Linked DNA regions of Lonchura striata. Each later gene encodes a partner of the first gene's protein in a complex. Links are inferred from orthologs where the notes say so. Each region holds a gene or a part of one and is shown in the gene's direction. Other genes may lie near its edges. The genes, in order: UNC80 and UNC79.

Region 1 (15,065 bases):
TGTAAATTACAATACATGAATAAATAAAAATGAGCTCCCTAGACTGGTTGTCATAGTGATTCATCAGCTAAATAGGGAATCTTAAAATCTGAGCAAAGTGGGATTATATTGACTATAAAAAATATAAGAAAAAGTGTGCAGGAAAGATAAAAGGCAGATACACAACCAATTCTAGTGGAGTTACCTGAGAGAGCACTGGTGATGGGGATGATCCTCAGCAGCACATCATCACCTGCTGATGCCCTATGTACATGAGACATTAAGAATGACCAGTTTACATTCTTGCAGATTGTTTTATCTATTCCTTTTGAAACCTCATAACTGAACTTTGCACTGTCAGTTGAGCTATACTTGATATATGTATCAGGTTAATGATGTGTTTTGGAAATTTTTGATCTGTTCTTTTTCCTTCTTAATTTTTATGTGTGTGTGTGTGTGTGTTGGGGTTTGGTCTGAAAAGACTCACAGAGATTTTTATGTCTGTGGAGATTCTAAAAATTAATGGCACAGGATTCCCCATCATTACATTCGGGTAGTAATGCAGTTACTGGACAGTAAATACTCAGTGGACCAAAGTGGGGTTTTGGCTAAGCTGCTACAGCAGTACCACCACAAAATAAAGTGGTTAAATCTCTCCAACTTTTACTGAATAAGAACTTCTGACAGCCCCACACATGACATTTCTGCTGTGCAAAAAGCTTTTTCACACAATAAAGTAACTAACACTGTTTGTAAGTCAGTTGTTTCATACAAAGGACAGTGATTTTAGAACCATCCCAAGTGCAATTGGAGGATTCTGATTTCTGCCTTGTATTTGTTACACTTCTGCTTAAAGAACTCACGTGGAAACAGTGTCAAGTGAGGTGCATTAAAATCTTCTTCCCATGTTTTCAGAAAAACAACAAACAGAAAGGAAAACTGACAGTATTTGTATCACATTGCTCTGATTATGCTATCAATTAATATGAATTAGCCTTGCAGTGGTTTTTCTTTCTATGCCTTTTGCCAGTGTAGGAGAAAAGCTATGGTACTACTGAACCTCTCTCTGAACCCAAGCAGCATCTCATGGGAACAGTGTTAACCTGAGACTCAAGTGTTTTTTTTATTCTGCTTTTAAAATTGGCATAATCTAGAAAATAAGGCTTAGTTAATCCACCTATGAGTCCAAAGCTAGAGTGTGTAACACACCAAGTCATTTATTTCATGCATTAAAATGAGCTTTCTTGTTTTGACTGAAGCAAAGACCTTCGTAATCGTTATCATCCTTCCATAGAAAGAATCCTAGAATGCTGTGGAGTTAGATGAAAAGAAATTAAGAGTTTTGTGCTTTTGAATAATAATTAAAAAAAAAAGTTATGTTACATGACTCTAGATGTTCACTGAAAAGCTCATATTAATCTTAACTTTCTCAAGAAGAGTGTTCGTTTTAAAAACAACAGTTTGTAAATATGTAATGCCCACTAAAGAAGATAGAGCCAGCTTCCTGGAAACTGCATCTGTTATGTTTCTTTTTCACAGGCATGTTGAGCCAGCAGGTTTGTTGGGTGCCTGAGACCCAATTGTGTAACAAAGCAGAGGTAATCCAGACAAAAGGAATGGTGAAACCTTGTTTGGGTACCTAGGGGAGCACCCCAAATTCAATAATCCATCAGGTTGTAGAGATGAGAGAGTGCTTCTGCCTCATCTGCAGAGTTTTCTTTCTATGTAACCACAAGCTGAAACAAATCAAAGTTGATCATACCTCTGTCCAGCAAGAGTAAAGGAAAAACTAAACCTGATGAGGAAAATTATGGGCCCACAAGGGCAATATATATTTTCACTGTACAGCAGTAAATGGAATTAATCATTCAGCCCTCTGCTATGGTACAGTAGTAACCTCATCATGACTGCTCACACGTCTAAGTTTGCCTAAATACATGACTCAAAGGGAGTCAAAAGGCAGCCTGTGTTGACTACCACATGAGCAGAAGTTTTTTCCATGCTGGACTAAATACTGTTTGAAACCCAAGTGTATGTCCCTTCAAAGGCAAATGCCATGAAGAGTAGATCACATTAGCTGTGAAAATCAGTGCTGGTAGATTTCTAGCCTAGGTGTCTGTGAGTTCACTCACTAGTCAGATTGCTAAAGCAACTCCCTCTGCAACTCCAGCAATTCCCACTGCAGGAAGGTAAATTAGTTTCACACTGGGAAAAGTCAAGTGTATAAAAGCCACTTCAACTTTAGCAAAGAGAAAAAGCCAACAAGTAAACAATGCTGTATGCTGGGATATCAAGGAGTACAGTCTGCTGTTACAAACCTGTGTTTTTTCTGATAATTCTAGAGCCTGTTACCATAAAAGAGGCATTTCTTGAATGGCTGGTGGTAGGTAGTTCATGTTTTTCAATCCGATTTGCAATTGTATTTGTTGCTGTATAGTGATTGTTTTGCAAAATAAACTCGCTTGTCATCTAATTGTATGTGTTAGCTTCCTATGTTTGTGATCCAGCTCCTCCTGAATCCAAACCCTGCACAACGTGCAGTACTGCCCTCAGTCTGCCCCAGAGCAGTCACAGCAGATCCAGTTGTATTGTTCAGCCAATCCCTTCCACTTTTATACAAAAGGATCAATTTTTATGGCTGGCATCCTCTTCTGCGGATCAGTATCTCCCTGCTGGGTGCAAATTTCTTCTCTGAGAAGGTGATTAGACATTGGAACTGGCTGCCAGGTGGAGTCACTGTCCCTGAAGGGGTTTAAGGACAGTCTGGAAGTAGCACTGAGTGCCATGGCCTGGTTGACAAGGCGGTGTTGGTTCATCGTGTTGGTTGGACTCGATGATCTCAGAGGTCTCGAGATGATCTTCCAACCAAACCAGCCCTGTGATTCTGTGGTCAGGACCTGTGCACCCGTGATCCAGGCCCCCGGATCAGGGACCTCTGGGGGTGCCGTGCAGCAACACCCTGCACAGAGCAGCGGAGCCTGGGCGCAGTGACCCCTCAGCGCCGTGAAGTGCGGCCGCACACCGGCCCTCAGGGCCCTTGTACGCCAGGGAAATGGTGAAATGGTGGCCCTGGGCCGCCCATGTGGCACAACCACACACCGGCCCGCAGGCTCCTTGAACACCAGGGAAATGGTGAAATGGTGGCCCTGGACTGCCCATGTGGCACAGCCTCCTCTGCCCGCCCTGCAGATCCCCTCAGCTGGCTGGACACAGCAGGAGCACGTGGACAGTGCCAGGGTGGTGAAGGTGACAGGAGATGGGTGTTGGGGGTGAGCTTTTGGGTCCATCTTGGTAACGAACAGGAACAGTGCAGACTTTGAGGGGTGTTTGGAGTGTGTCATCGTGGATCCATGGTGGATGCTCAGTCAGTCCCAGCCTGAACTCAGGCTGAGGGGAGTGTGGCTCTGTGCTCTGGGTGGAACAGAGAAATCATAGATGGGTTTGGAAGGGACCTGAAAGCTCATCTCATTCCACCCCCTGCCACGGGAAGGGACACCTTCCACTAGACTGGCTTCCACCAAGTCCTGTCCAACTTGGCCTTGAACATTTCCAGGGATGAGGCAGCCACAGCTTCTCTGGGCAGCATTCTGCTGAGAGTACTGCTGCTGCTCTGGGCAACAAGCGCTGCAAAAAAAGGTGCTTGGCTATGCAGAAGTCCCAGTTACTGGGATTAAAAAGCAGTGTGGCCCTGGTGGAGGGAATCCCAAACCTGGTTTTGTGTGAACACCCTTGTTCTGGACAGAGAAGCATACTGGTGAGGTGGTGCTCTGTGGAGTCGTGTTACTGCATGTTTTGTTATAATTTCTCAAGTGTAATGGTTTGTTCCTATGTACCCCTACATTCAGCTTGGTTTGTCCCTGTTTTCCCGCCTTACCCTGGGTGTCAATCATCCCCTAAAGTGCTGAGTCATTCCCTTGGCCCCTCCCAGGCACCCTGTCCATCACTCGGTGTCCCCGCCCATACATCCAGAACCTTCCATCCCCAGTGCCGGGTGATTGGACAGGGGCCTGGGCCCCGCCCGTATCCATCCCTCATTGGTTCCCATATGTGTCTGTCAATGCAATAGTCACTCCCCTTGTGCTCCTATTGGCTGGCCAAGTCCCCTCCTCTCAGTATATAAGATGTTGCAAGCAGCCTGCTGGGGCTCTTGTTAGCTGGCATCATTCGGGGGTTGTTGGGCCCTGCTGGGCTGCAATAAACTTTGGCTTCAGCCCCTAACAAGACTCTCTTCTTTGCCAAGCCGTGGGATTCAGCTGCGCCCATCAGACCCACAAAGCACTCTCCAAAGCCCTGCTGGGCTCAGCGGAGGGTGCTTCCATCTGCCCTTCTCGCCCCATTGGAGAGCTAGCCGGGGCAGAAAGGGACTGAGAACTGAGACCTGGGGTGGGAACGTGGCAGTGCTCAGCTCTCTCTGAGGAACAGAGAGGAAGGCATGTTTGGTAACTCCGTGCATCAAAAGATCCATGCTTTCTTCTCTAGGAAGAAGGTTAAAAAGTTCAGGTAGGGCACATTTTGAGGGGAGGAGGTCTGTTGCCTTTTTTTCTCCAAACAAAGCTAAAGTCTTTCAGGTACTACAGAGCGTGGAGAATCCTGAGCCAAGGGATGATAATTTGACAGTGAAAGCTGAGGTGTTATTTTTTTCCCCCTGGTTTTGTCCAGATAATCCCCCCATGTAATCTCCAGGATTTTGTTCCCTCCCATCCTGCCCTGTCTGTTATGCATGTAATGCATGTAGCTGCAGTTAAATGTCTATTTGAATATGTTTTGTTGCTTGAACTTCATGCAAAGGCAGTAACTTACTGTGTGAGGTGTGGAGGGCCTGTGTTTCTGCTCTGCTTTGAAACAGAATTCTTAGATGGATGAGTGCTGTGCTACTCGACTGGTTTTACCTAAATGTGACTGAGGGATTAAATACCTAACTCTTCTTGTGGAATCTGGTCCAGCTGAACTGCAGTCCACTCCTGCCCAAATTCATGCAGCAACACCTGTAATTTTAGGAGATCCTTGCAGTTACAGGGATTATTTATCCTTGTTTCTGAGCACAGTTGTGTTGTGTTTAAGCAGGGCTAGCTAGAAGACCTGTGAAGGAGACTACTGAAGAACCTTAGTTGAGAAGTTTTCATGCTGTTTAAAAGCCCTTAAAGAAGAAACAGGGCTTTCCCAGGCTTCTCTAAATTTTTACATTCTTTCTACCTGACAGACCCATATGGGAAAGGGTAGAACAAGTGGTATCCATCAGTGCTAATCTTCTGTGACTGGTTGTCCCCAGGGAGAAAAGGTTTTCCTTCATGATGGGTCTGTTCAGCCAGGACAGAAGCCTGCTGGCAGACAGTGGAAGAGTAAGATCTCGAGGGTGTGGCAAATGGTTTTTTTTTCCCTGCTCTGGAATCTGCATTTAGGAGCTGTTTGCAGCTTTGCTCTTGGAAAGGCTGCTGCACAACAGAATGGCTTGACATACTCTTGAGAGCCTGGATTCTGCATGGAGAGTTCAGAGAATTAAGATGTGAATTCCTAGGAGTGTGTATGGCAGGGATTGATTGAGAGTGGGAACTTGGAGAGCATAACCATGGAAACAAGTGCAAGGCAGTGAGGTTTGAGCAGTTCCCTGCTCTGAGCACTCCTGTATAAGGTGGGGGCTTCTGCTCTGTGTCCCCACTCTGTGCCATGCTGCCAGCCTTGGCTGTTTCTGGATCAAGACTAGACCCTGCTGTGCTGGATTGTAACCATAACTGGTGAATAAAGGAGTGATCAAGCAGAATCTGGAGGCATGTCAGGCTCCTGCCTGCAGTGAGAGAGGAAGTGGGTGCTTGGTGTCAAGGGCATCTTCAGTGGCTGAGCAGTTGGCATGGGCTAGGAGCTGTTGGAGTAACACAGAGCTTTCTCCACTTTTCCCTCACCTGCTTTGACTTGTTGCAGGAGTTTTGATCTTTTTGCAGGCAGATGGACCTATGTTTCTGTGCCAGTCCAAGATGCCAGTGTAGCCTAGAGAACAGAGCACAGGTGAATTTTCAGGAGACTTTGCTGTAATGGCCTTTCTGAAGAATCTACTTTTTTCTCTCTACCCTCACTGTGAGGGAAGGCAGGGGACCGATTTGCAGGACTTTCCCTTTGTAGCATCCACTGTAGTGTTAGTATTTAGGTGTGGTCAAATGCTGATTGCAAACCTGAAAGCCTCTGCTGCCAGCAGAAATTCAGTATAGAGATAAATAAAATCTTCCAGATGGTAAAATTTCTTCTCTTAAACATGCAAGTCATTTTACTCACAGAGATACAGATTACTTCAGCTTTGTGTGCCCTTCGTGGTGGTGGGCATTGTCTCCAAAATAAGGTGAGAACAAAACTTGTCTCTGGCTACTGTCAAACTTAATGTGAGCTACCTTTGCCACCTCCAGATGGCCTGTCTGGATTTAAGGTCTGCATCTTCATGCTTGCAGTTCCTGTGACTTGATGTTTCTTTTGTTGTTGTTTCCTTTGCTCTCTGATTTGTTTTGCATCAGAAGTTCTGTAGCTTCAAACTTCTGTACAAAGGGATTTATGTATCTTTTGTGACTGGGTGTAGTTGGAGAGCAATGTGCTGCACTCAAATGGTAGACCATTTGGTTGACCAGAACTGCAGTTTGCAGTTCCATTTTCAGTTACTACAAAGTAATCATAAACAAAATTCCAAGTAGTGATTTAGTTTCCTCTCAGTGCTGGACTATGTGACCTCTGCTTGCTAATGGTTTGTGACAGGGCAAGGCACTGGCTATGCACAAATAAAGAGTAAGAAAAATAATCCTGAACTTCAAAGCTATTTGTTTCCTCTAAAAAGTTTTCATATAAACAACAGAATGTCACTTTTTTTTTTTTTTTTTTTTTTTTTCTCTCCTGTGAGAACTGCTTGGGATGAACTTGTACTGGTCTTCCATTTTATTCTATTATTTGTTGTAGTATCCTCTGATATCCTTAGGTAGAGAAGGAGAGCTCATCTAACAGTGCCTGAAAAATATTTGTAGTAATACTAATTCAAACCTACACTTGAATTAGCCAAATCAGCCTGGTGTCTAATTGGAAACACCAGTAAATCTGCTTTGGTACTTCCCACCTCTGTTTCAGCTTTTCTGTGTAAGAAAAATCTGTGGAATAACAACCCCAAAGTTCCTCTGCTCCCAACACCTGTTGGATTAGGCCCTTTTCTGACCCGGAGATGGGGCAACTGAGAGGCATTTTAAAACTTTTCTTCTATTATTAGTCTCATGTGAAGGGTGAGACAATACAGATGTTATAATTCACGCCATCACAATTAGAAGACAATTATTTCCTATTTACAATACAATATAAACACTTCCTGGCCTATCAGCTTTAGCTACGCCATGCTGTAAATGCCTTAAATCATCTTATCATCAAAAATTACCTCTTGTGGGTTCTAATACAATGCATTTTTGATCTATTTCTCCAAAGCATCTAATCTTATTTGCAAGGCCATCCTTTGAAACTTATTTCTACTTCTAATTCTCTCTCAACAGTGTCCGTCCTATTCCGTGGCATTTCTAAGTCAGCACTTCTTCTCTCCAAGTTTGCATGGAGATGCACACTGCGTGAGCCTTCGAGAACTCCCTACAAATCCATTTCCCAACATCACCAATCTGCACTTTCAGGGGGGGTTCGTGACTTGCCTCCCTTCTCTGCCCATTTGGGAAGCAAGAAGGGAGGGAGCGGGAGGGTAAAGAAAGGGGGTAGAGAGGGAGGGAATCGTGGCGGGGAGCCGCTGTCCCTGCCCGGCGGGGCTGTGGGGAGCCGCTGTGCCGGCCGGGCCGTGGGGAGCCGCTGTGCCGGCCCCTGTGGGGAGCCGCTGTGCCGGCCCCTGTGGGGAGCCGCTGTGCCGGCCCCTGTGGGGAGCCGCTGTGCCGGCCCCTGTGGGGAGCCGCTGTGCCGGCGGGGCTGTGGGGAGCCGCTGTGCCGGCCGGGCCGTGGGGAGCCGCTGTGCCGGCCCCTGTGGGGAGCCGCTGTGCCGGCCCCTGTGGGGAGCCGCTGTGCCGGCCGGGCTGTGGGGAGCCGCTGTGCCGGCCGGGCTCTGTGGAGCCTGTGTCCCGGCCCCTGTGGGGAGCCGCTGTGCCGGCCCCTGTGGGGAGCCGCTGTGCCGGCCGGGCTGTGGGGAGCCTGTGTCCCGGCCCCTGTGGGGAGCCGCTGTGCCGGCCCCTGTGGGGAGCCGCTGTGCCGGCCGGGCCGTGGGGAGCCGCTGTGCCGGCCCCTGTGGGGAGCCGCTGTGCCGGCGGGGCTGTGGGGAGCCGCTGTGCCGGCCCCTGTGGGGAGCCGCTGTGCCGGCCCCTGTGGGGAGCCGCTGTGCCGGCCGGGCTGTGGGGAGCCTGTGTCCCGGCCCCTGTGGGGAGCCGCTGTGCCGGCCCCTGTGGGGAGCCTGTGTCCCGGCCCCTGTGGGGAGCCGCTGTCCCTGCCCGGGGGCCGTGGGCCGCCCCGGGAGTGCCGGAGCCCGGCGGCCCGGCCCCGCGGCGGCGGAGCGCAGCCCTGTTGCTGGCGGCGCGGTGCGGGAAGTTTGGCGGGCGGCGCCTCCGCCGCCTCCCTCCCCCGGCACCGCCCGCTCCGGGCGCGGGGAGCTGGCCACAGAGGGAGGTGCTGAAGGCACGGAGGAAGCTGGAGGACGCGGACATCTTCGCTCCCCCGAATTCCCTCCCTGCCTCCTGCAGCCATCTTGCACCAGCGGGGCCGAGGGAGGGGTGGGCTGCGGGGAGCGGAGGGGAGAGGGTGAAGAGTTGCGGAGAGCCAGAGGCGGCCATGGGAGATCCCGGCCGGGGCGTCTGCTGAGACTGCAGCGGCTGTCATCAGCATCATGGTGAAAAGGAAAAGCTCCGAGGGCCAGGAGCAGGAGAGCGGCCGTGGCATCCCTCTGCCCATCCAGACCTTCCTATGGAGGCAGACCAGGTAAGAGCAGGCACTTGGGATGCACCTGCAACAGGGCAGTGGAAGTGCGGAGGGGCTGCGGGACAGCTGCTGCCCGGAGGCACGGAGGATGCAGTTATTACTGCAGCTGCAATGTGAAGCAGTGAAAAAAAAAAAAAAAAAAAAAAAAAAATCAAAACAACAATCGATTAGGGGTTTTGTGTTTTTTTTTTTTTTTTTTTTTTTTTTTTTTACTCAGTATAGAGCAATTTGTGTGCATCTGGTGTGGGAGGAGGGAGGTCTCAAGGCAGCTTAACCTAGTGGAAGTCCCAGGCAGCTTCTTGATTTGACTTTAAACCATCCATGTCCGTTTCTCTATGCACCTTTCCCTTCCTCCCTGTCCCGTGCTCCCCTTCCCCTCCATCCCCCATCTTTTAAGAGAACTCATGGTGCTCTTGTAGCAGAAGCAGCATCCATCAGTGCTGCGCCAGACCTGCAGCTTTGCTTCTGTCTGTATTTGCAGCTGTCCTGGCGGTGTAATCCGTGCTTTGAGAGGCTGGCATGCAAGCAGATATGTCCAAGTGTCACCTTATTTCACTGGACTGGAGAGTGAGGGACTCGCTGAATGTATGGCTGGTGCTCTATGTTCCTTCCTAATCCTGTCAGGCTCCTGTCCTAGCAGGATTCCAAATTGAAAACATTGTGGGGGCAGTGGGGAAGGTTGGAAGATTTGAAGGTTGTGGCTCTAATTTAAGGCCTCAGTCGCAAAATCCCCTTTTGCCACAGCCAGTGTCCTTCAAAATAAAAATAAAAAAACCAAGCCTGCAATAAGGTGACCTGATTTTTTTTTTTAATATTTACTCTGATCTCATTCTGGAGGAGAGTGATAGAGGGTGAGTGTTCTCGACATGCAGCATACAGGCCTGCACTTCACCATGAGCCTTCCACATCAGCAGCTGTGCAGAAAAAAAATATTTAATACAGAGATGGCAAGTTGATCTCTGGCTTAAAAAAGAGGCAAGGCAAAGTTCAGTAATATGTAACAAATTTTAAAGAGGATATGTTGAAAATCTTTCACTGAGGTAAAATGGCTGAAAATTGTCTGATGGAAGATTTTATCCCTGGGAATGTGTGGGCTGAATTAAATACCTCTTGACATATCAGGGTGGGTACTTTTTCTTCTGGAAAAGATAACAGCATTTATCAGATGTCATCAACAGGTATCTAACATAGTTTTGGCTTATGTCTTCCTTTGCAATGAGTTTCTCAGCCTTTTGATAGCCTTCTGACATGAGAGGAATCCTAAAAATAACTAAGAAAAATACATGTTGATGTACTGGGTCTCTAATGCTGCTTCTCCTTTCTTTCAGTGCATTTTTAAGACCTAAACTGGGGAAGCAATATGAAGCTTCCTGTGTGGTACGTACGTGTGTTTCTTTTTCAATGCTTGCTAGTAACTAACTTGTCATGCAGATCAATCTGACCATAGTGGCTGATCAGCTCCACAAGTGGATTTAGTCCATTCAGCTTCATTTTGTACTCCTATCACATGAAGGATTTGAAATTTTATTTGGATATTAGTAATAATTAATTCATTAGTAATGCTGTAGTAATGAAATAAATAATGACATGGGCAAACTGAGCTATGACAGTGTGGGTCTAACCTTGCAGTTCACTCTGTGTGGATGTGCTTTTGCATGAGATTGATGTCATTTCAGTTTGCAATTCCTGATGGTTTTTCAAGCTTATAATATGGAAAATCTAAACAATATTAACAGACTTTCAACAATACTTTTACCATTGCACAACATGGGAAACATTTCTACTGAAAATTAGAGGGAGCGTATCTTATCAGAATTATTAAGAAAAGGCTGTTATGCAGATACAAATAACTCTGATTTCTAAATGTACTTCAAATAAAGCCTCGAGTTACTGCCAAAAAGGGGGGAAACAAGAAGACATGAAGTAAGTTCAAATAAGACAGGTATCTAGAGAATTCCTTGAATGGTTGCTGGTCTTTGGATTACTTAAAGTACAATAGTCAGTTGCAGCCAAACTTGACAGAGTGGAAAAATTTGGTCTGGACATGTATCTTAATAGTTTAAAGTTCTTAGGTCGCTCTGCAGCAATTTTCTGACTTCCTTCTCACAAGGCATTATGCTGGAGAAGCTGTATCTGTTGCTGAGTCATTTTCTTCTAAGAAATCCATAAATTTTTCAGAGTTTTTGCTAGATACCAGATAGAGATGGGATTGCTGGCTTAGTGTGTTGGTGAGTAAAATGTTCAGTTCTAGCATATGCAGCAGTGATGACTGGTTAATGCCTACTGACAGTATCTGGTTGTTGAGGGGCTGGAAAATGGAACTTGTTTGTCCTTTACCAGGAGCTGTGCCTTGGGGCACCTCTAACCTGGGGGCTGTGGCTTCATCTGTGGGTAGAGGGGCAGAGCTTCCTTCTCTGTGATGTACCTCTCTGCCTGTAACTCCTTTTGCCTCCTGCTGGGCTGTTGGCATCAGGTCCCTGAGGCTAATTGCAAAGCACCTTTCTTCTGGGAGCACATACTGGAATTTACTAAGTGTGAAAAACAAACTACACCCTAAAAACCCTCTAAATTGTGAGACAACCCAAATCACACGCTTCAGCCAGGAGAAAGGGAGCTCTGAAAACAGGCATTTCATAAACATCCAATAAATTTCCACCTCTTGGATGAAGAACCTGATTATTCTCAAGTTCTTAACATAATCATTAAATTATGGTAGAAACTGCTCAAAGGTGGAACTTAGCTTTGAGGAATTTTTGGGTAACAGGCTGAACTGACACATTGGCTGCCTTATGCTTCATCTGTTTCCTCTGCCTACTGGTGTGCCCATTCTGTATTATCCAGTGAGGCAGCAGAGTGCTGCATGCATGGGTGAGGCGGATTCTGGAACTTGACAGGTACTTGACTTGTCTTCTGAAACCTCCTGCTGACTATCTAACACCCCTGTATTGACTAGTCTGCCTAAAAATATTGTGCACCCGTTGCATGATCTATCCTTTTGTAATTCTCTAGCCAGAATTGTTGTAGGCATGTCTATGGGCTGTTAACTGTCTGGCAGTGCATATGACACAACACTGTGCAGTATTCTATTGTTTTTCTTGCCTCTAAACTTGCTGCAGTGGAGTTTGCTGCCTGTTGTGCATTGAGGAAGCAGATGTTGGAGTCTGAGATTCAGTGAGTGCAGCATCTGGTCTGCAAGAGCATGTTGCATTGTTTATTTGGGGTCTGCTATATACCAAAATACTTGAGGAAAAAAACTTGGCCCTTTCATTGCATTGTTCTCTTTACCTGAACCATGAATAGTTATCTCACAACATCTAAATGTTTGTGCCTCAGTATGGGTTTAATGTTCTTCCTACTCCCCCATTCTGAAGTTGTTCTGCCCTGACATGAGGCCATCCCTGATGTGCCAGAGTCAAAGCTGTGAATGACCTCACAGGAAAGCATGTGAGTGCTGTACAAAGCCAATGCATTTTTGGGTGATGGTAAGGAACTCAAAGGTATGCTTAAATTCTTCTGCTCTGGTTTTCATTGGCCATGGAAGAACTCAAATGTTTTCTGGAGGATCCTGAAAATTTAGTTTCCCTCTCTTCTAGGTTTTTGTTTTTTTTGTGGGTTTTTTCCCCTTGTTTTTGAAAATGTAATTACATGTTTTGTTATTGTGGATAATTAAAGTATAGCTATGGAACAAAGTTCAGAAAGAGGCCACCTTTATTTTATCCAGACAATGGGCATGGTTGCAGAAATGTGAATTTCTGTGAGTAAAGTGTGTGGCATCTGTGTTTCATTACTTCTGAATGTTTATTCACAATGTTTATACTACTGCTATATTTAGTAAACAATGGAGTCTTACCATCCCTTGTGTTATGAACTCCTAGATTCCCAGATCTTTCCAGGAACTCTTCATTGCTAAGTGGACCTGCCCCAGACTGACAGCACTTTCTGCCTGCACTTCAGGCTCTTTCCAGTCAGTCTGAAGTGACTTCAGCAGTAGTCTCAGCTTTCCTCCATGATGCAGGCTGAGCTTTGGAAGGACAGGGCATTAAGGTCCCCACCAAGGACACAAGCTGAGTTCAAGAAGCACTAACCATTTCTCTGTGGTACTGCCATGGTCCTTCTGTGCCTGCACTGGGTAATCCTGTAGAGATACTCCTGGCACTCCTGGGAGGATGTAACAGGAGGTGCTGAGCTTCCCAAGGTAACCTCTGGGCACCCTCTGTCACCCCCTGGCTGACCTCTTCCTGCCTTATGCAATTCACTGCAGGTACAGCTTCCCTGGGCTTAGAGCAAGGGAAGTTCAAGTGAAGCTGTTCAGGAAGCCATGACAAAGCCCAGGCAGAATGCTGCTGGAATGGGAACAGATAGCCTGAAGATGCCTAGACAAGAGGGACAGGACAAAGCAAACAGTGACCCACAGGCTGATCCTGGTCACAAGGTATTTGGCAGTGCCTTTGGCTCTTGGTGGAGATGAAGGTAAAAGGAGAACAGCAGCAGTGGGAAGGCAGCCAGACAAGGCTGGCCACCATTCCCTGTGAAAACAGCTGTCACCACCAGGCTAAAAGGAAAAATGCTTGTGTAAGTGGTCCTCAGGGAGCTGAACACACACACAACCCTGCTGAAAGGGACTGTTTCTCCAGCCAAGGCACTAACTTCCCTCTCTATCCCCTTGGTAGATGTTCTTCATCTGCCTTTGGTGTGTGTGTGGGGTGTTGCAGGCTTGAACAAGCCTGCTGTAAGTAGGTTTTTTCTTAGCCAAGCTGGAGCCCTGAGCCCTGAGGCTGTGGCTCTGGATGTACCCAGAGCATGACAGTATCTGTCTTCTGACTCACTCACAGGAAGCTTTTTCAGACATTCTCATTCAGCCTTCTTATTTGAGCATGGAACTCTGAGCTGTAGCAGCAGTTCTTAATTCATGCAAGGTAAAAATTAGGTCTTCTGCCCCTGTAGCAGGTCCTGAAAGAGAAGAGCCATAGCACACTGAAAAGGAGGCTCAGGAGCAACACAGAACCTTGCATCTTGAGTGTCTGGTATAGACGAAAGCTGCACCTTTATGGAGAACTCCAGGCAGATTCCACAGGAAGGCTTGTCCAAAGAACTGCGTGTTCCTGTTGGACATCCAGTGGTTTCCATACAGCAGCTTTTGTGTTTGCATTTTTTCTGGCAACATATGGTACTTCTGTTTCAGATGCTTGTGATCACATCAGCTATTCCAGAAGCTAATCTTTCATTGCAGTACAGAAATACTTAGCTTTCTGCTCAGGCCTGGAAAGAACAGAAGAATCTGGTGGCTAACCACATAGGGAAATCTTCACAAGGTCTCAGCAGCCCAAAATGTCTTAATAAACACAAGCCTAATCTAAACATAAAATTGCAAACTTCTTAGCTGCCTGTTGAGTTTCTGAAGCATGCTGACAGTGGGACAGAGCTTGCAGAAGGCAATTGCTGGGGAACTTTCTACCTGATGCCATTGAAATACCCAGGAATGAGACCTTGACTAGAAAGCCAGGGAGCAACAAGGTGTCTTCCGTTGCACTTCAGAATAGGGTTGGTGTTTTTATTTCTCCCCTTGCCCTGCAAACTGAATAGCTTTGTCAACTCTACTAAAGTGTGAGCTTATGGTTTGGCTTCTGTGCTGGAGGTGAGATAATTCAATTCCGTAAGCCTTGGTCAGCACTGGTGCTTGGCAGTCCTCTCAGTGAGCTAATCCAGCTCACTAACATGGGTAGGAACTGCTTACCTCTGTTCTGACCTTCCTTTTGGCTTGTGCAGGGGCTTGGCTTGGCTGAATGAAGGATTCATTGAGCCCCAGAGCCAATGGAAGGGTGGAAATAGGAGTGTTTGGCTGGACTGATGGCTAAGGAGTGGTCCCTGTCCTCTTTTGATAAAAATAAATAAAACCTCATGTTTTTCACTGGCTATTTCAATCTTCGTGGTATTTGTAACTATGCACCTCCTGTTCTGCTGCTTCACTCCCTTATTTTGTTATGTAATAATCCATTTACTGGGATATTTACTCTAAACCTCTGTTGTCTTTATACTAATGCACTCTCTGTCCTCTGTGAATCCTGACTGGAACAGAATAATCAGTCCTTACAATGGGTGCTTTGCTCCCTGTTTGGGCTTCCAAAGCATTGGTATCCCTTCATTTTGCCCCATTCCTGAACTGATAGGAT
Region 2 (15,164 bases), on another chromosome or scaffold:
ATTTTTGAGAGATCTTCCCATTATTGCTATTTGCAATTACTGTGATAAATACTTTGAAGTCTAGACTAAATTTGACAAAAGTGCAGTAAATAACACTTGTTATGCCACATTGTATGTGTAATAAAAGAATGTCTTCTAATAATTTCAAGTCTGTCTTACAAGAAAATACAGATTATGAACCTTTTGTGATGCTTAAGTATTAGCATAATATAATTTAAAATTCCATTAAGTAATTTGTAATATCTAATGTGAAAACAGATTATGAAAGTAGGGCTGTGAAAGTGTTGTACTTGCTGTACTTCTAAAGTATGATTTTCAAATAAATGTTCTGAGTTCCCTTCAGCCTTGTAACCATGACTGAAAGTTTCAGATGGAGAATGAAACATTTATCCTGAGTGTTTAAAGAAAGTCATACTCACTTACTTTATTTCCAAGAAATTACAGCTTTGTCATTTAGTTGAACAGTCTGATATGAAAGCCCAGTTGTGTATGTGGAAAGTTTCCCACAGATTTGAATGAATGTTGGATATGTGCCTGCATTCCTGGAATCCAGGGAAAAAGCAATGCTAGTAACTGAAAGGCACTTGGACAAGCAATCTGAAACTTTGCTCCTGCACACTGTCAGTGCATCCTTTGAAATAATAAGGCTATTTTGCAGAATCTTTTGTAAAAATCAGCTTTGAACATTTCAGTGTATCTGCTTGTCCTGTATCTGATTTCATCATCCTTCTCTCACCTAGTAATGTTTAAATAAATCAGTAAGATATTACATTTCAGTTGTTGTACTTGTCCTCTTAAATTATGGCAATGAGTAATAAGATTGCCTGGTTATAATACGTACTTGGGGGATGTGAGTAAAGCACTGACAATTGTGTTGGATTAAATGAGGTAACAGATATATAGGGATGTTTCTATTGAAGCAGTGATAATTTTTAGAAACTACTTACCTGAAGAGCTACTTAAAATTTAAGTGTTTCTTGCAAATATTTTTTTTTCAGATTTTCAGTCCACTCCAAGCATTTATTCCTAAAAGTACTAATTATTACATTCTACAGGCATTTAAAAATACTTCAGTCTTCATATGGCTTTCTTTACTAATTGTATATGGATCTTTAACCCTGGGACTGGAAACTCTGGGGAATGTGGTGCATAGAAAACCAAGATGAAAAGGAGGGAAGCCAGGTTATTGCAGGCACTTTTATTGCTGTTAGGGTGGTATGAATGAGCTTATACTCTTCATTAAGTGCAAGGGTGTTTATTTATTAGTCTAAACCAGCCACAGTTCAGCTAGAACTGGGCTGATATGTGCAGCCAGTAGTGCCCAGGGCTCTGGCTCCAACAACTGTTTTTAACTCAGGCTTTCTACAGCTGCCCAAGGTGTTTGGTGAAAATGGTTGGTCGGTTTGTTATTACACAGCACCCTACCTGCAGCCTGATGGGTACCACTCAGTGCTCCCTGAGTGCTGCTGAGTTCTGTGTGTGGACATCAGTGGAGTCCTTTGCAAAGAAAGGCAAGAGACTCCCTCCTGTAATTCCACAGATGGGGAGCACCAAACATGAAATGCTTGCCCAAGGTAAGGCAGCAGGGTAGCAGGAAGGTGGAAACAGAGCTGAAGGATGGTTCCCTGCCGTGCTTCTCATGGCATCTCTACATCAATGGTTTGCATTTCTTGCAGATGGGGCCAAAGCTGGTTTTAAGCTCAATATAAGTAGTAGCACAGATAACACATACCTAAGGGTAAGTGGCTGAAGCCTGTTCTTCCATTGGAACACAAGTAGCAGCTATTCCAGGTAAGGCAGAAGATCTTGTGTTGAACTAAACTTCATAACATTTACATGCTTTGTGATTATGTTAATGTGCTGCAGTGTACTCATAATAAAATACTCATGAGTAAGTGAAGTGTCTTTCAGTCACTCTGCTGTCTCTTCTTAAGAATAGATGCTCTGGATGAGTTTATACTTAAATTAAGAGGCCAAGTAGTGTTCAGCTTCTTGTTCATAAACACTCTGGGTCTGCAAAAAATAGTTGGGGAATATTAGGCAATTGTCAAGAGACCTGAATTTGCAATAGATAGGGCAATTTGTAAGGATCTGCAGATGAGAAAAATACATTCCCATGTGAAGTGCAGCAGCTTTCCTACAGGCTGCTTTAGGAGTGTCCCATTTCTGTCAATTTAGTTCACTTTTTGTTTCCACCAAGGTTCCTGTCTCCGATAGACCACCCTTTATTTCGTCTTAGGCTACTGCTAGATTCCCATGTGGAGCAAACCACTTTGGAGGAGAGACTAGACAGATTGCTAGCTCCTAGGGAGACAGCCTTCAAATGCAGGAGCAAAGTCAGTCAGCTTTAGTTGTCACTGAGACAGGGTCTTGACCCTGGCATGGGTCACAAACTTGGTACAGGTGTGGTAAAACACCAAGGACCTGAGCAGTGTTGAATTTTGCATGCTTTCTCCTCACTTCCTTGTGGAAAGTCTCATGCCTTCTTTTGCCCTCTGTAACTGTTTTTGCCCAGCAGAGACCTCTTACAAATGTTTTTACTTGAGTGTAGAAATATTAAAGCAAATTAAGTATCTGGTCTTCTTGATTTCTCTGTTCATTTCTTTGCCTTTGGGCCATGATGCTGTGATAGGTTTAAGAAAGCAGTATTTTGACACTTGTCATTCTGATCCTAAAGCATTACTGCCACTATGATGTGCTTTCATTTTAGCTGTGTAGGTAGGTGGTATAGTCAATTCTGCACAAGTCTAATATTAAAGGTAAGGAAAATCCCAACTGTTTGCAGGTGTGATATAATTCAGCTAGGGTGGTGCTAATTTTCACAAACTTGGCATGTTAGTTGGCACAAAGACTGTGCCTCTTAGAGCAGCATATCCAGTCTCTGATTTTATAATAGTCTTAGTGCATCCTTATCAAATTTGTGCTAATTCTTTATGCAGGTCACCATGTATTTCTTAAACTCCACTGCTATGGCAACAAATTAAGTATTTTGTTCACTTAGAGGCTAATGACATTACTCTAGAAGAGAAATTGAGGGCATTTATCAGAGATTTTTACAGTGACAGATGCTGACAAATGTAACAATAAAGCAAACATCCACAGATTTAGTTGACATAATTATCAGAATAAGAGGAAAATTCCAGTTTTGTTAGTACAGTCAAATAACCAGTGTATTTCTTAACAACTTTTTGTTTTCCTGAAGTCTTAATTCTTCTAAACTGGGGAAAGAAAGAACAAATATCAGCATCACAATCTGGCTAATCTGTTGGAAACACAGTATTAGCAATGAGACACAGAGCCCTTTGCTGCTCCATCTCTCACTTTAAAGCAGCCCAAGTCAGTGATGACTGAAATGAATTTGTCACATGCCAGATGGCATAACAGATATGGGTCGGTGGCTTTGGCCAAGCTTCTGGTCACATTATGATCACTTCTGCCATTACTGCCAACTGGTTCTCTATTCTATTCTATTCTAATTCTCTACCCTATCCAAATGCCTATCCTACTCTACACCTTCCTTCTCAGAATAGTTACTTTCCAGCCCTCCCACAAGAGGAAGGTTGGGTTGGTATTTTTTCTGTACATAGTGCTGCGTGATAGTACCACTAAAGGACGTTTTCCTTGCACTTTTAAGTCTCAGCACAGAGGCTAAAATTGGGTATCTTCACCTCAGAAGAAATTTTTTTCCTGCACAAGACTATACAAGCTGTCAGTAATATTGTGTTACTTTTGTGCAGACATGATTTTCTGTGAGCAAGAAGAGGTGCTTTCCCTGCTCACTCTCTTGGCTCGTGCTGGTTGACCCAGGTGTCAGAGCCCTGAGGAACTGCTCCAGGATACATGCTGTAGCCTAGCTCAGTTAAGCCTAACTGCTCAGTTTAATCCCAGATAGACTTTTTCCTCAAGCGATTATATATTTTACAGTCATTCATGAGGATTAATTCTTACATAGAGCAAAGATTTAGAGACAAATTTAATTTAATATGATATAACTATTGCTGTGAAAAACACTCATCTGAGCCTGAGGGACTCCATCTGCTGTTTGAATCTGACAGGGAGGAGGTTGGTCCCTATGCAGGAGCTGTTCAGGGGCTCCAGTTCCATACCAAGACCCTCTCATTGGCATTAGTTCAGCCTTGTAAGTATTCAGAAAGCACCACGTAGATTGAAAAATCCTGTGAGCCAGAGAAACCTGCCTCCTCCTGCTTCAGTTCATTCTGTGTTTGGCTTTTCTTATTGCAATTACCCTTGCCCTCCTCCATGCCACAACCTTCAATTCAGATAGGCTTGTAGAGATTAAAGGAAAAATTTGAGGCATTTCAAACTTGTCCCCACTCCTACTGCAGTTTTTAATATTCCTATCACAATGCAGGTATTGATAATCTCCTGCCAAAAGAGGTGAGGAAGTTGAAATAATTGAGGTATTGGCTTAAAAGAAATTAAATTGAAAGCTAGCTGGTTTTGTTCTGTGTTTTGATAAAACTTAAAAAGCACTTAGGTGCTTTGCCTCTCATTCTTGCCTGTCATTCAGGCATTGAAATACTCATTGTTTCAAACAATGTTTATATTGCATTGGAGTCTTTGAATATGTCAGGCAAGAACTAGTTTTTATTTGAAATGCAAATAGAGACCCATGTAATTACATGACTCAGGAAGCTGAGCCTTTACGGAAAACACCATGAGAATGTTTTAAGTGTTTGTAAGTGAACATGTCTGGATACAGATGTGCAGCTATATATCTGTGTAAACTGATGAAATTATTTATTTTTATACATGCATCAATTCACTTCAATTTATGAACAGTTTAATAAATTTTCTGTATGTGATTCAAGGTAGGAAGGCTTAGGATTTGTATTTTTCAGAAAGGATTACCTTTCTAAAAGTAGATTTGTTAATGCTTGGAGATTAAAAAAAAAAAGGAACATCTTTTTGGAGCTGAATACTTGAAAATGTAAGTCAAAGTGACAATAGTCACATAAATAGTGACTTCTGCTCTTGATTACTTCTTTTCTCCTTACAGGAGAAAATGTCATTTATTTATTCCTGAATTATATTGTAACTACAGTACACACTCTTAGGCAGGCAAAATTTAGTTAAAAGCCAGCACAATTCACAGAAACAATATGTTCCAAATCCCTTCCACACCTTATCTACCTTATCCTGCAAAAGCCACATTTCAAAACAACCAGACTTATACAAGTCCATGGGACATGATAGGATGCACTCACAAGTGCTGAGGGAGTTGGCCGATGACAGTGTAAGGCTGATTTTTATCATCTTTTACAAAGGCCAAAGCTACTGGGAGAGTCCTGAGAAATAGAAGAAAGCAAGAGTCACTCCTATTTTCAAGAAGGACAAGCAGGAGTATCTGGGAAATTATAGGTCATTTATCTTCACCTTGATCCATGGGAAGATGATGGAGAAAATAATCCTGTAAATCACTTCCAAAGACATTAAGGACAGAAGGGTTATTTGGAATAGTCAGTGTGCATTTGCAAACGGAAAACCATGCCTGACCGACTTGATAACCTTCTGCAACAAAATTACTAACTTGGTGTAGAAGGAGAAAGCAGTGAAAATTTATCTTTAGCAAGACTTTTATCAACGCTTCCCATTACATCAGCAAAGAGAAAGTAATGAAATATGGACTAGGCAAGTTGACAATGATGTGAATTGGAAAGTGGCCAAACAAACTGCCAGGCCCAGAGGGTTGTGCTCAGGGGCAAAAAGTCCAGCTGGAAACCAGTGCTGCACTGCAGGGGTCAGCCCTGGGCAAGTGCTGTTTCATGTCTCTGCCCATGACCTGGATGATGGGACACCCTCTGCAGATGATGCAGAACTGGGAGAAGCTGTTGATACACCAGCAGTTGAAGGTTGTGCTGCATTCAAACGTGTCCTGAGAGCTTGGAGATGTGGGCCAGCATGAGTCTCATGAAGTTCAACACGTTAAAATCCAAATCATGCACATCAGAGGGAATAACTAAGCACCAGTACAGGCTGGGGCTGAGCAGCTGAAAAGCAGCTCTGCAGAGTGACGTGGCTGTCCTGGTACACACCAGGTTGACTGTGAGCCAGCAATGAGCCTGCGTGGCAAGAAGGCCAACAGGATCTTGGGCTGCAGTAGGAAAAGCATGGCCAGCAGGTCAAGGGAGGTGTTTATAGTGCTCTGCTTGGCACTGGTTAGACCTGACTGGAGTTCTGTCTGGTTCTGGACTCACCATGAATATACTGGAGTAAGTTGAGGGAAGGGCTAAGTGATGAAGAGACTGGAGCATCTGTCATATAAAAGGGTGCTGAGAGAACTGGGACTGTTTAGCACAAAAGTCAAAAGGTTTGGTGTGGGGAGTGGGTCTTGTCAGCGTGTACAAATACCTTAGGAGAGGGAATAAGAAGATGGAACCACACTTTTCTCAGTGGAGCTCAGTGACAGGATGACAGGCAATTGGCACAAACTGAAATACAAGAAGAAAAAGCTTTCTAATGTGAGGATAGTCTAACCTTTGAACAAGTTGCTTAGAGAAGTTATGGTGTCTTTATGCTTGCAGATGTTTGAAATTTGGCAGGACATGGCCCTGAGCAATTTGCTCTAGCTGACCTTGCTTTGAGCAGGGAAGTTAGAGTAGAAAAGCTCCAGAGAGTCTTTCCAACCTCAAAGATTCCATGACTCTGTAGAATTTCTGCTCATGAACTCAGAAAGTAGCATGCTTTCATTTTCATCAGTTGGTGTGTAAATTTTCCACTTCCCATTCATTTGATGTTAAAAATATATTATTTTATTAATGATTTGTGGGCTTAAGATGCCTGCAGCTTTTATGCGTTCTCTTAATACGTGTGTGTAGAGAGGAAAAAAATCATATGGACATAAACCTTAGCTGCTTAAAATGGTTCCTAGTGGAACACTGTACCAATTCTGTTAGGCATATTCATGAGGATCTTGCTGAGAAACTATGACATTGGTTCAGCCCAGACACTTGAGAAATTAATTCCCAGGGTGCCACATTTCTATATTTGCTGCTTAATGACATTTGTTCACAATATAAAGCATGAGTCTCTATACTTGAATTAACAAACTAGGCAAGTCTTAAATTGTTTGACTGAACAACAGACTACTTGTATAGGATTTATTTAGGGCTTAGACATTGTTTAGACAATGCAGAAGAACTCATAAGCAATAAATTGTTTACCAGGTAGCTGAACTACATGCTGTACTATGTAGGACCTTGTTCAGTAAATGCAGGCATAGCTGCAATTTTCAGACACTTAAACCAAAGAAGAAATTTTACATGAGAAATGGAATTAATATTTTCTCAGTGTACTCCTGCTTTATCAACTTGAGTGTTTTTAATAAGCTCACTACTCTGGTATTTGAACACTTGGTATGATTTAAAGATACTTATGGAAGCTCAGTTCCCCTCAGTGCAGAGAGTTCCCTATTGTTCTGTAATAAGCAATAAAGCAGTTCAGATTGATTTGTTGCATCAACAGACAGAAATTCAAAGATGAAACCTGTCTTCAATATCTTATTTCAATGAAGTCTGAAAGCCATTTGTCTGTATATTTGTCCCTTATGCTCCATGTTGTGAGACATAGGGTTAGGGGAAACTGGTTTGTAGCACCACGTGACCTCTCTGGGCACTTAAATAAATAAAACTTCTAATAAAGGAAAAAAACTTAAATATTTACTGTCAAATGAATGTAAAAGAGCAAACAGTGGTATAAGTTGGCTTCTCTCTGTCTTTGGGGCTAACAAGCAGCAGGGAGTGTGGAAAGATATATGGCCTCCAGTAAGAGCTCTACTTTGTACCTAATTAAGGGGTGTTGAAGAAACATTGCCCATGCACTATTTTTAGAAAATTTCTTTCAGGAAAAATATGAACCAGTTAATGTCAGTGAACAGAATCTGCCCCTTCATTGTGGTTTATGGCAGTGAATGTACATTGTCCCCAAATCGGGCAGCAGTAATTTGGAGGCACTGCCTTGTATGATGAATAACAAAAGATAGCTATTTTCTTCCACCTCCACAGCGCAGTTCTTTGGCTGCCACAGTCCTATTTACCTTACACAGCCCAGCATTTTGAGGACAGTATGTTGCAATGGACTTTTTTGTGTGTAAACATCATGACTCCCATGCCCGGCTGGTGAAATACTGCCGCTTCCACATAGCTTTTTCAGAGGTGTGAGGATCTAAAAAACTGGTATGGAAAGTTTCAGAAAAGAAACACATAGTTTACTGTTAATTTCTGACACCTGGTACGGTCAAGTCAGGACGATGGGGAAGCTGATAGGACGCACAGCAGTGAAATAATTTCTCTTGAAGCAAATGACTTTTATAGTTAATACTGTACTCCCACCACAATTGGACAAAAATCTTTTCAACCCACCGTGGTCCTGGGGCAGTCACCATGGCTGGGATCTGGGGAAGGAGAGGGACACAGTCGGGGCTGAGCGCAGCCCTCGTTTCCTCGGGAAAGGCACGGCGGTCCCGAGGCGCTCGGTGCACGGCCGAAAGAGGTGGGGAAAGCCGGCCCGGAGGCACTGCCTGCCCGCCCGCCCGGGGTACAGCTGCAGCCCAGGGGTCGAGGCGAGAAGGACGCAAGGGAGCCAAGAGCTGTTCCACGCCAGGGATCACACGGATCCCCAGCACAGCTGCTGGCAGTGCCGCCAGCGCTGTCCTCGCTCAGTGTAGCTCCCCCGCCCGCCCCTCCGCAGCCCCGGCCACCCTGGCGGCCCCCGGGGACACCGCCGGCGTTTATCAAGGTCCTCCGGCTCGGCAGCTCCCAACTCGACGTTGCGACAACCTCGGCGGGGCCACAGCGCCGGTGGGGCAGGTGCCCCAGGGCCGCCCCGGCACATCGCATCCCAAGTGCCGCGCTCCCCGTCCCGTCTCGCACGCCGTCCCTCCCGGGGCGGTGTTTGCCGCGGCCGCCAGGCGCGCTGCCCCTTTAAGCGCGCTCCCGCCCGGTCCCGCCCGCCCGCCGCTCCCCGGCCCGCAGCCCTGCGGCACCGGCGGCGGCACCGGCACGGGCGCGGGCACCGGCAGCTCCATCGCGGCCGGGGGCCGGCGCTCCGCGGCGCCCAGGGGCAGAGCGGGGCGGCAGCATGTCCACCAAGGCGGAGCAGTGTGAGTGGGGCCGGGCGGGCTCCGGGCCGGGGTCTGTCCGAGGGGAGGGAGCGCGGCCGGGGGCGCCGTCCCGCCGGTGGCGCTGCCCCGCCGCCGCCCGCCCGCCGCCCCGGCGGGCAGCGCTGCCCGCGCTCCTGCCGCGGTCTGCGGCGGCCGCCGGCAGGCGGTGCAGGGGGAGGGGGCTGCCGGCGTTCTGGCTCTTTCTGCCGGAGCCGCCGCCGCTGCTGGTGGCCGCAGCCCCCGGAGCTCCTCGCTGCTCGGGCGGCCAGCTCGGGGCGGCGGCAAAGGCAGCGCCGGGGAGCGGACGGGGGAAATGAGGGATCGGGCTGAGAGTTCGTACTGAGGCCGCCAGCTTCGCCCCCCGCCCCACGGCGGGAGCGGTCCAGCCTGCCCCGTCTGCCGGCGCCGCGCCGTGTCCCGAAGGATGCAGCCACCTGCGAGAGCAGAGGTGACGCACGCGTCGCCACCTTGCAGGTGGTCTTGCAGTGAGATGGAGCGAGAAGAGCCGTGCTGTCCTTCTTGCCCGCGCCGCTCACCTTTCGGGTGAACGTAGGCTGGGTGTTCGTGTCTTGCCTACAGGCCCCCTGCCACAGTGCCCGGTCCCAGCGGGATTCCCCCAGGTGCTGGCATCCCCCTGCCCGCGGCCAGCGAGCCTCTGCTTGGTCGCGGGTGTTGTAACCACCATGTTGGCTAGAGCTGATCAGAGCATCAGGAGATGACATGGTGGTTGGGGTACCTGCATCTGGGCTGTGGAAATGCTCCTCACTGTCGTTTCTCATGACACCTGGTTTGTCGGCAAGAGCCCAGATGGGATGCTGAAAATAAAATACTGGGGTAGTCGAGCTCGTCACCCATGTCAAAGCTACTTTCTTGCCTGATACAGTGTCATGGTTATGAACATGCAGTCTGGGACCAGGAGGTTGGATTGATGTTTGTCATGATGATGTGATGTGATTTGACACTTTGCATGCTGAGACTTGCTCTCTTCTTCCTCCAGGTCACTGAGAAGGATCCTTGTGTTTATATGTGCTTATGGTGAACAGATCTAACAAAAAGAATACCTGTATTTTTCTTTTCTGTTAGGGTTTACTGCTTATTTACGATGATGGATCATCTTGCTTTAAAAATATTCTGCAAATGTTAATTTATTGCTGTAAAGATGGAGTTCTAGTATCTTAATTAGAGACACAATATTCTGATGTGCAGAAGCCCTGAATTGTGCAATGTTTGGACCTGTACCATTCTGTTGTTGCTTCCATCCCCACCTTGCACCTGAGTTCTATAATTGTTTCTTCTCTTGTGTGATACTTGCACATTAATTGCACTTCCTTCACACTGCCATGCAGAAGAATTTGTGCTACTTTTTGTCCTAGCACTGGCTATGACATTTTCTTTTCAATTCTGTCTTCTCTGTTCCTCTATTCCTAATGCTTTTGGTCTGCTCTGTTTGAGCTTCTCTTATGTATTTTATCCTTGGCTGTTTTTTCTTTTCATCCCTTTGTACTTTTCAAGACACTGCATCAAAGCCTACCGTGTCCCTATGGCTCTCTATTTTAAGATTTACTTCGGGTCCAGATTTCAGATCTTTCTGCCTTCCAGTGTCCCTTTTTGTGATACTCTAGGCAGAGTATTTGGTTAATGGACATATCCTGTACATTCTAACCTGCTGAATGTATTTTTTTTACCAAGGCTGCTTCCCTGACTAGTTCTTATGGCATTACCAAATGTCTTTGTCTCTACATAATTTCAAGATTCCCTCACCCGCAATTTTTGAGTAATGGACTCTGACAAGGATGTGTTGGTGTGCATGCATCACTACCAGTCAAACTTTCAAACCCCAGCTGTCGCTGTTGTTGCTTCTGCCCTCACTGAGTGACAGGCAAGAACCAGAATGTCTTGGGAAGAACTCAAGTTACAAGTCATAATGAATTCTCAGTTTACCAAGAGCATCAGTGAAACACTGCGACTGAGGAATCACTGATTGGAACAGAAGATAAGCTGGTCTAATCATGAATCCCACAGCTCTTGGGCAGGTTCTGTGAACAACAGGTAAAATGGTGTCATTCTGGAGGTTAACTGGAGAAGCTGCTCTTTTTTGTGACCACATGCATCTTGTATTGCATACCAGATATATCAACAGTGACTTTGATCACTTGACTCTGCAGCATGCCTGAGATGTTCTGTAGTATTCAAAGAAAATTAATTATTTTTCACCCTAAAAAGCAGTAATTGGAGTTTAGTTGTGGTAAGTAATGTCCTGGGAATGCCTGATGCCTGCTCTGTTACCCCCCAGGACAGTGGAGCAACCAAGGCCATCTTTGAGGACACTTAATGGCTTCACTCTAGGTTCATTCAATGGTTACACAGGGGCTGAGGAGTTTAGTGAAGTCTGTGTTGATGCTAGAGAGATACCTGTTTGGTTTTGTGATGACCCTATGAGGGTGGCCAAGTGCTTCCACAGGGTGACATCACTTTTTGAAGTGTGTCTCTGGGTACTCAGAAACTCAGAAAATTAGGCCATTTGCACACTTGCTGTAACTTGAATCCTGGCAAAGTTTTTGCTCTGGGGCTTTCCTTCAGAATTTTCTTTGTGCTGTGGGAAGCTGTGCTGAAATGGACATTGTTTTGGGAAACAGAGCTGGGAAGTGAGGCTGAAACCTTTAGCTTAAAGCTAATGTTTATATTTAGACTTTATAAATAAGTTTTCTCTTTTGATATTTGACCTGATACAATTGCACAACAATGCCAATTAATAAAAATGAATGGATTTTCATGTTCATTAAAAAAAAGCTGTTCTAAGTGATTTGAGATACCCTATGCCCTTTATTGAAAATTAGTAACTGTAGGGAGGCACACAGCTCTCTGAAATACATCTAGATCTGAATTGTGTAATAATCTTTGGCATTTTGTAGTCCATTTAATTTACAGATATCTGACAGCAAACCATGATAGCCACAGTAATCTGTGCACTTGCTGTGAATTGTTCTTAATTGGGTACTGCCTTGCATAGTCTGTGTCCTTTACAGATATACTTGGTTTCATACTTTTTTTTTCCCTGACCAGAGAAAGTAACATCACTAAATACGTTTATGAAATCATTACTTTCTTAATCTAGAAACCAAACTAGATTAGTTTTATGGTAGTTAAAAGAAATGTCTACCTTTTAAATAATCTGATGAGACAGCCTGCAAATCTGGGACTAAAACTGAGATTAGTGGGCAGAAAGAATGAGGTGTGAGATGAGAAGGGGAAAACAGTCTTGGGCTGCTCAACTCAGCCTCTGTAATGTGGAGTGAAACACATCCTGCCCAGATGTTCCTGGCCCAGTGGTTTGGGGGCCATACACGAAGCCAGCTATGGCTGCTGTCACACAGGATAAGCTCCTGCAGAGCACTGCTCATGTGCCACAGGCCTACGTGGTGGTAATTCTGATTTCAGTTGTTTGAGGGAGAGGGGAAAAAGTCATGATTGTTTTTAGTTATTCATTAATTGTGAAGTAAAAGGCTTAAAGATGAGGAAATGTAATTAAAGATGCTTATGCATTTTTAGTGTGTTGCTTTTGCATATGCATTATGACAGTGTCCATGGTTGCATTTTTGCTTGCTGGTTTCACACAGACCCCAGTCCTTCCGTCACATGATGGGCTTTCTCAAGGAGAAAGCCTTGTGATGAAGCCAGGTAATATCATGAGGGAGACTTTTGTCTGCAGAAGCTTCACTTGCTGCAGGAGCTGGGGAATGCCCTCCTTACAACAGGAAATGAGTTAAAGAATGACCTTAGTTGGGTGCTGTAAGTCTGGATTTCTTGTCATGCGTTCAAGAAAACAGTTTTCTTCATTTGATGATTATTTGAGTGTTCATCATTTTATGGATAATTGACTTGAGATTGTCAAACCTTATTTGTTGTGTGGCTGACCACTCAAGGAGTCTTTTGTTTTCTGGATGTGAAAGTCCAGTGTGTACTGTTACCTATAGTGGCAAAATGGCTCTCAGTATCTCAAGCTGAGCCTCCAACAATATTTGCAGACACTTTGCTTTTGGTGTCTGTCCATCAGTCTTTTTCTGCAATACGGGTACAATGTCACCCCTTCTCATTCAACTTGCCAGTGGCACAGAAAAAAATAGAAAATTCATGAACTGTTCAGCTATCTCAGCAGTGAGAGCCATAGCAATGTCTCCCAGGTAGTTAGTACCTTTCTGTTCAGTGGAAGACTTAATGGTATTTATTGTTTAATAAATGCTATTTGACCATGAGAATAAAACCAATAATTGACTAATTGCTTGTTTAGGTAGCATGATTTATCTTCCACACTGAGGGAGCCCGGTAGGGCAGCAAGGTATATCTTCGTCTAGTGAAAGACTGTTATAATCCATATGCTTAAGGGCTGAAAGAATTCAGAAGCATCTCCCCTTTTAACTGCCTGTTACTTTTAACATGATGAAGAGTTCCCAGGCAGCTGTGCTTTCATGAGGCTGTGTCTGCAGTGCAGCACAGCTGAGCAGCCCTCTGCCCCAGCCACTGCACTCTGTCTCAGCAGAGCTGGTTAATCTGAGTGGAGCAAGAAGAGCTGTGTGTCTGTAGATGTCTCTACAAGAGACTGCCTTGTGCTGTACAGGCAATGTAAGGCTGTGCAGTTATGGGGGTAATCACTTTTTCCCAATACTGAACAAGGATTCCTATTAGAAAATAAACCCAGTGTTTACTTGTAATACAACAAAAATTGGTTTCAGTGGAGATGCACACCTCCTGCTGCTATTTGAAATCCCCTTATCTGCTTGATTGCACTTCCTAAGACAAATAAACAGCAGCCACTTTGCTCTTCTCATACCTTTAGTTCATTGCATAAAGTAAATGTATGGCCCACAGTAAATCACATAAGGTCTCTCTGTCTTAGCTTATATCTCTGCTTTGGCTGTAGAAATGCTTATCTGTCTCACATGAACCTCCTGTGATCCAATGACTCATTCATTATAAATGACTCTTGAGATGCTTGGAGACATGGACAAAGTGCTGACTGGCAGTATATATTTTTTAATTTGCTAGCACTATGTTTGCCTAATACAGATGCAGAAATTAACTTCCATGTGATCTCCCTGGCACTCTTTTACAATTTATTCAGTCAGAACAGAATGAGCAGAGAGATTTTTTTCTGTTTTTTGAGTTTAATATTTAAATTAAAAAAAAAAAAAAGAAAATGAAAGTCATGACTCTGTCAAAATCTGCAAAAAGCCTAAATGAAGGTTTTTGTGTTTTTCTTTTTGTCTTTTATGTAGTTGCTTCCAAAATCCGTTACCTTCAAGAATACCACAACCGGGTTCTCCACAACATATACCCTGTGCCCTCTGGAACTGACATTGCAAATACTCTGAAATACTTTTCTCAGACCTTATTGAGGTAAGTTTTGACTAATGCTCTTGAAGAAAAAAGAGCTAAATAATTGTAGGGGATATTGATTGGCTTTGAACTGGTTGCCAGATTTAAAGGGTCAATGGTCAGCCAAAAAGAGTCAGAGCATAATTTAAGAAAAACATGGTATGAACGAATGTCTTCAGTGGCTGTTGCCCAATTTGCCCAGTTAAGCCCCTTTACTGAGTGGCTGATTCTAGAATAAACTTGGTTGATTATGCATTTGCTTGGTCCTACGGCTTAGCTGAACGCACAAACATGCTGAACTTGTGAAGAAAGGAGTTTGTGACCTATAGAGTTTTAGATGTGTATAATCATGGCCTCCTTGAGAGTCCTGGTGCCTCAGAATCCCAGAGTGGAGCCAGACGAGCAAGCAGAACTGGTTTCTTACTGTGCTTGGGTCAGCTCTTCTGGGTTCTGGTTCAGTCCCTTAGAGCAGACAAAGTTTGTATACAGATCTGGATTTAGATGGTAACAACACATCAGGATTATTCTGATCCAACGTTTTTTACTTAGTCTAATGTTTAGTAATAATATATAGTGCTACATACCATGTGACTAGAGAATACATTACGAATAGGAAATACTGTGTTGTCTTCCAAAAAAATAGGAAAAAAAGTGAGACTTTATTAGGAAT

Evidence for each region.
Region 2: the proteins of UNC80 (region 1) and UNC79 are in contact, whole or in part, in a cryo-EM structure (PDB 7W7G), measured with the Mus musculus proteins. The link is inferred for Lonchura striata from reciprocal best matches to the Homo sapiens genes UNC80 and UNC79. Residues at the interface, in NP_780719.2 of Mus musculus: Gln23, Thr24, Trp27, Ser31, Leu34, Arg35, Pro36, Ala80, Pro83, His84, His87, Ser94, Asn95, Asn180, Ala183, Leu187, Phe190, Leu191, Arg337, Leu340, Gln341, Pro342, His343, Arg1317, Asp1320, Glu1321, Asp1324, His1545, Val1546, Asp1547; in XP_030102533.1 of Mus musculus: Thr120, Tyr123, Ser127, Ala130, Thr131, Leu168, Ser169, Ser172, Met175, Ile176, Gln179, Tyr180, Tyr207, Tyr211, Gly212, Pro213, Ser214, Val390, Cys391, Glu394, Glu402, Phe405, Arg472, Cys541, Asp917, Phe920, Ser965, Glu966, Phe967, Ser968.

The regions. Positions count from the first base shown.
Region 1 is NC_134610.1:33,680,132-33,695,196, forward strand, and holds the start of UNC80 (protein unc-80 homolog), read left to right. Parts: upstream 1-8,551; 5' UTR 8,552-8,803; coding exon 8,804-8,895; intron 8,896-10,223; coding exon 10,224-10,272; intron 10,273-15,065. UniProt on the Homo sapiens protein: Auxiliary subunit of the NALCN sodium channel complex, a voltage-gated ion channel responsible for the resting Na(+) permeability that controls neuronal excitability.
Region 2 is NC_134608.1:15,629,127-15,644,290, reverse strand, and holds the start of UNC79 (protein unc-79 homolog), read left to right. Parts: upstream 1-8,999; 5' UTR 9,000-9,099; coding exon 9,100-9,121; intron 9,122-9,520; exon of another isoform or gene 9,521-11,170; intron 11,171-14,394; coding exon 14,395-14,515; intron 14,516-15,164. UniProt on the Homo sapiens protein: Auxiliary subunit of the NALCN sodium channel complex, a voltage-gated ion channel responsible for the resting Na(+) permeability that controls neuronal excitability.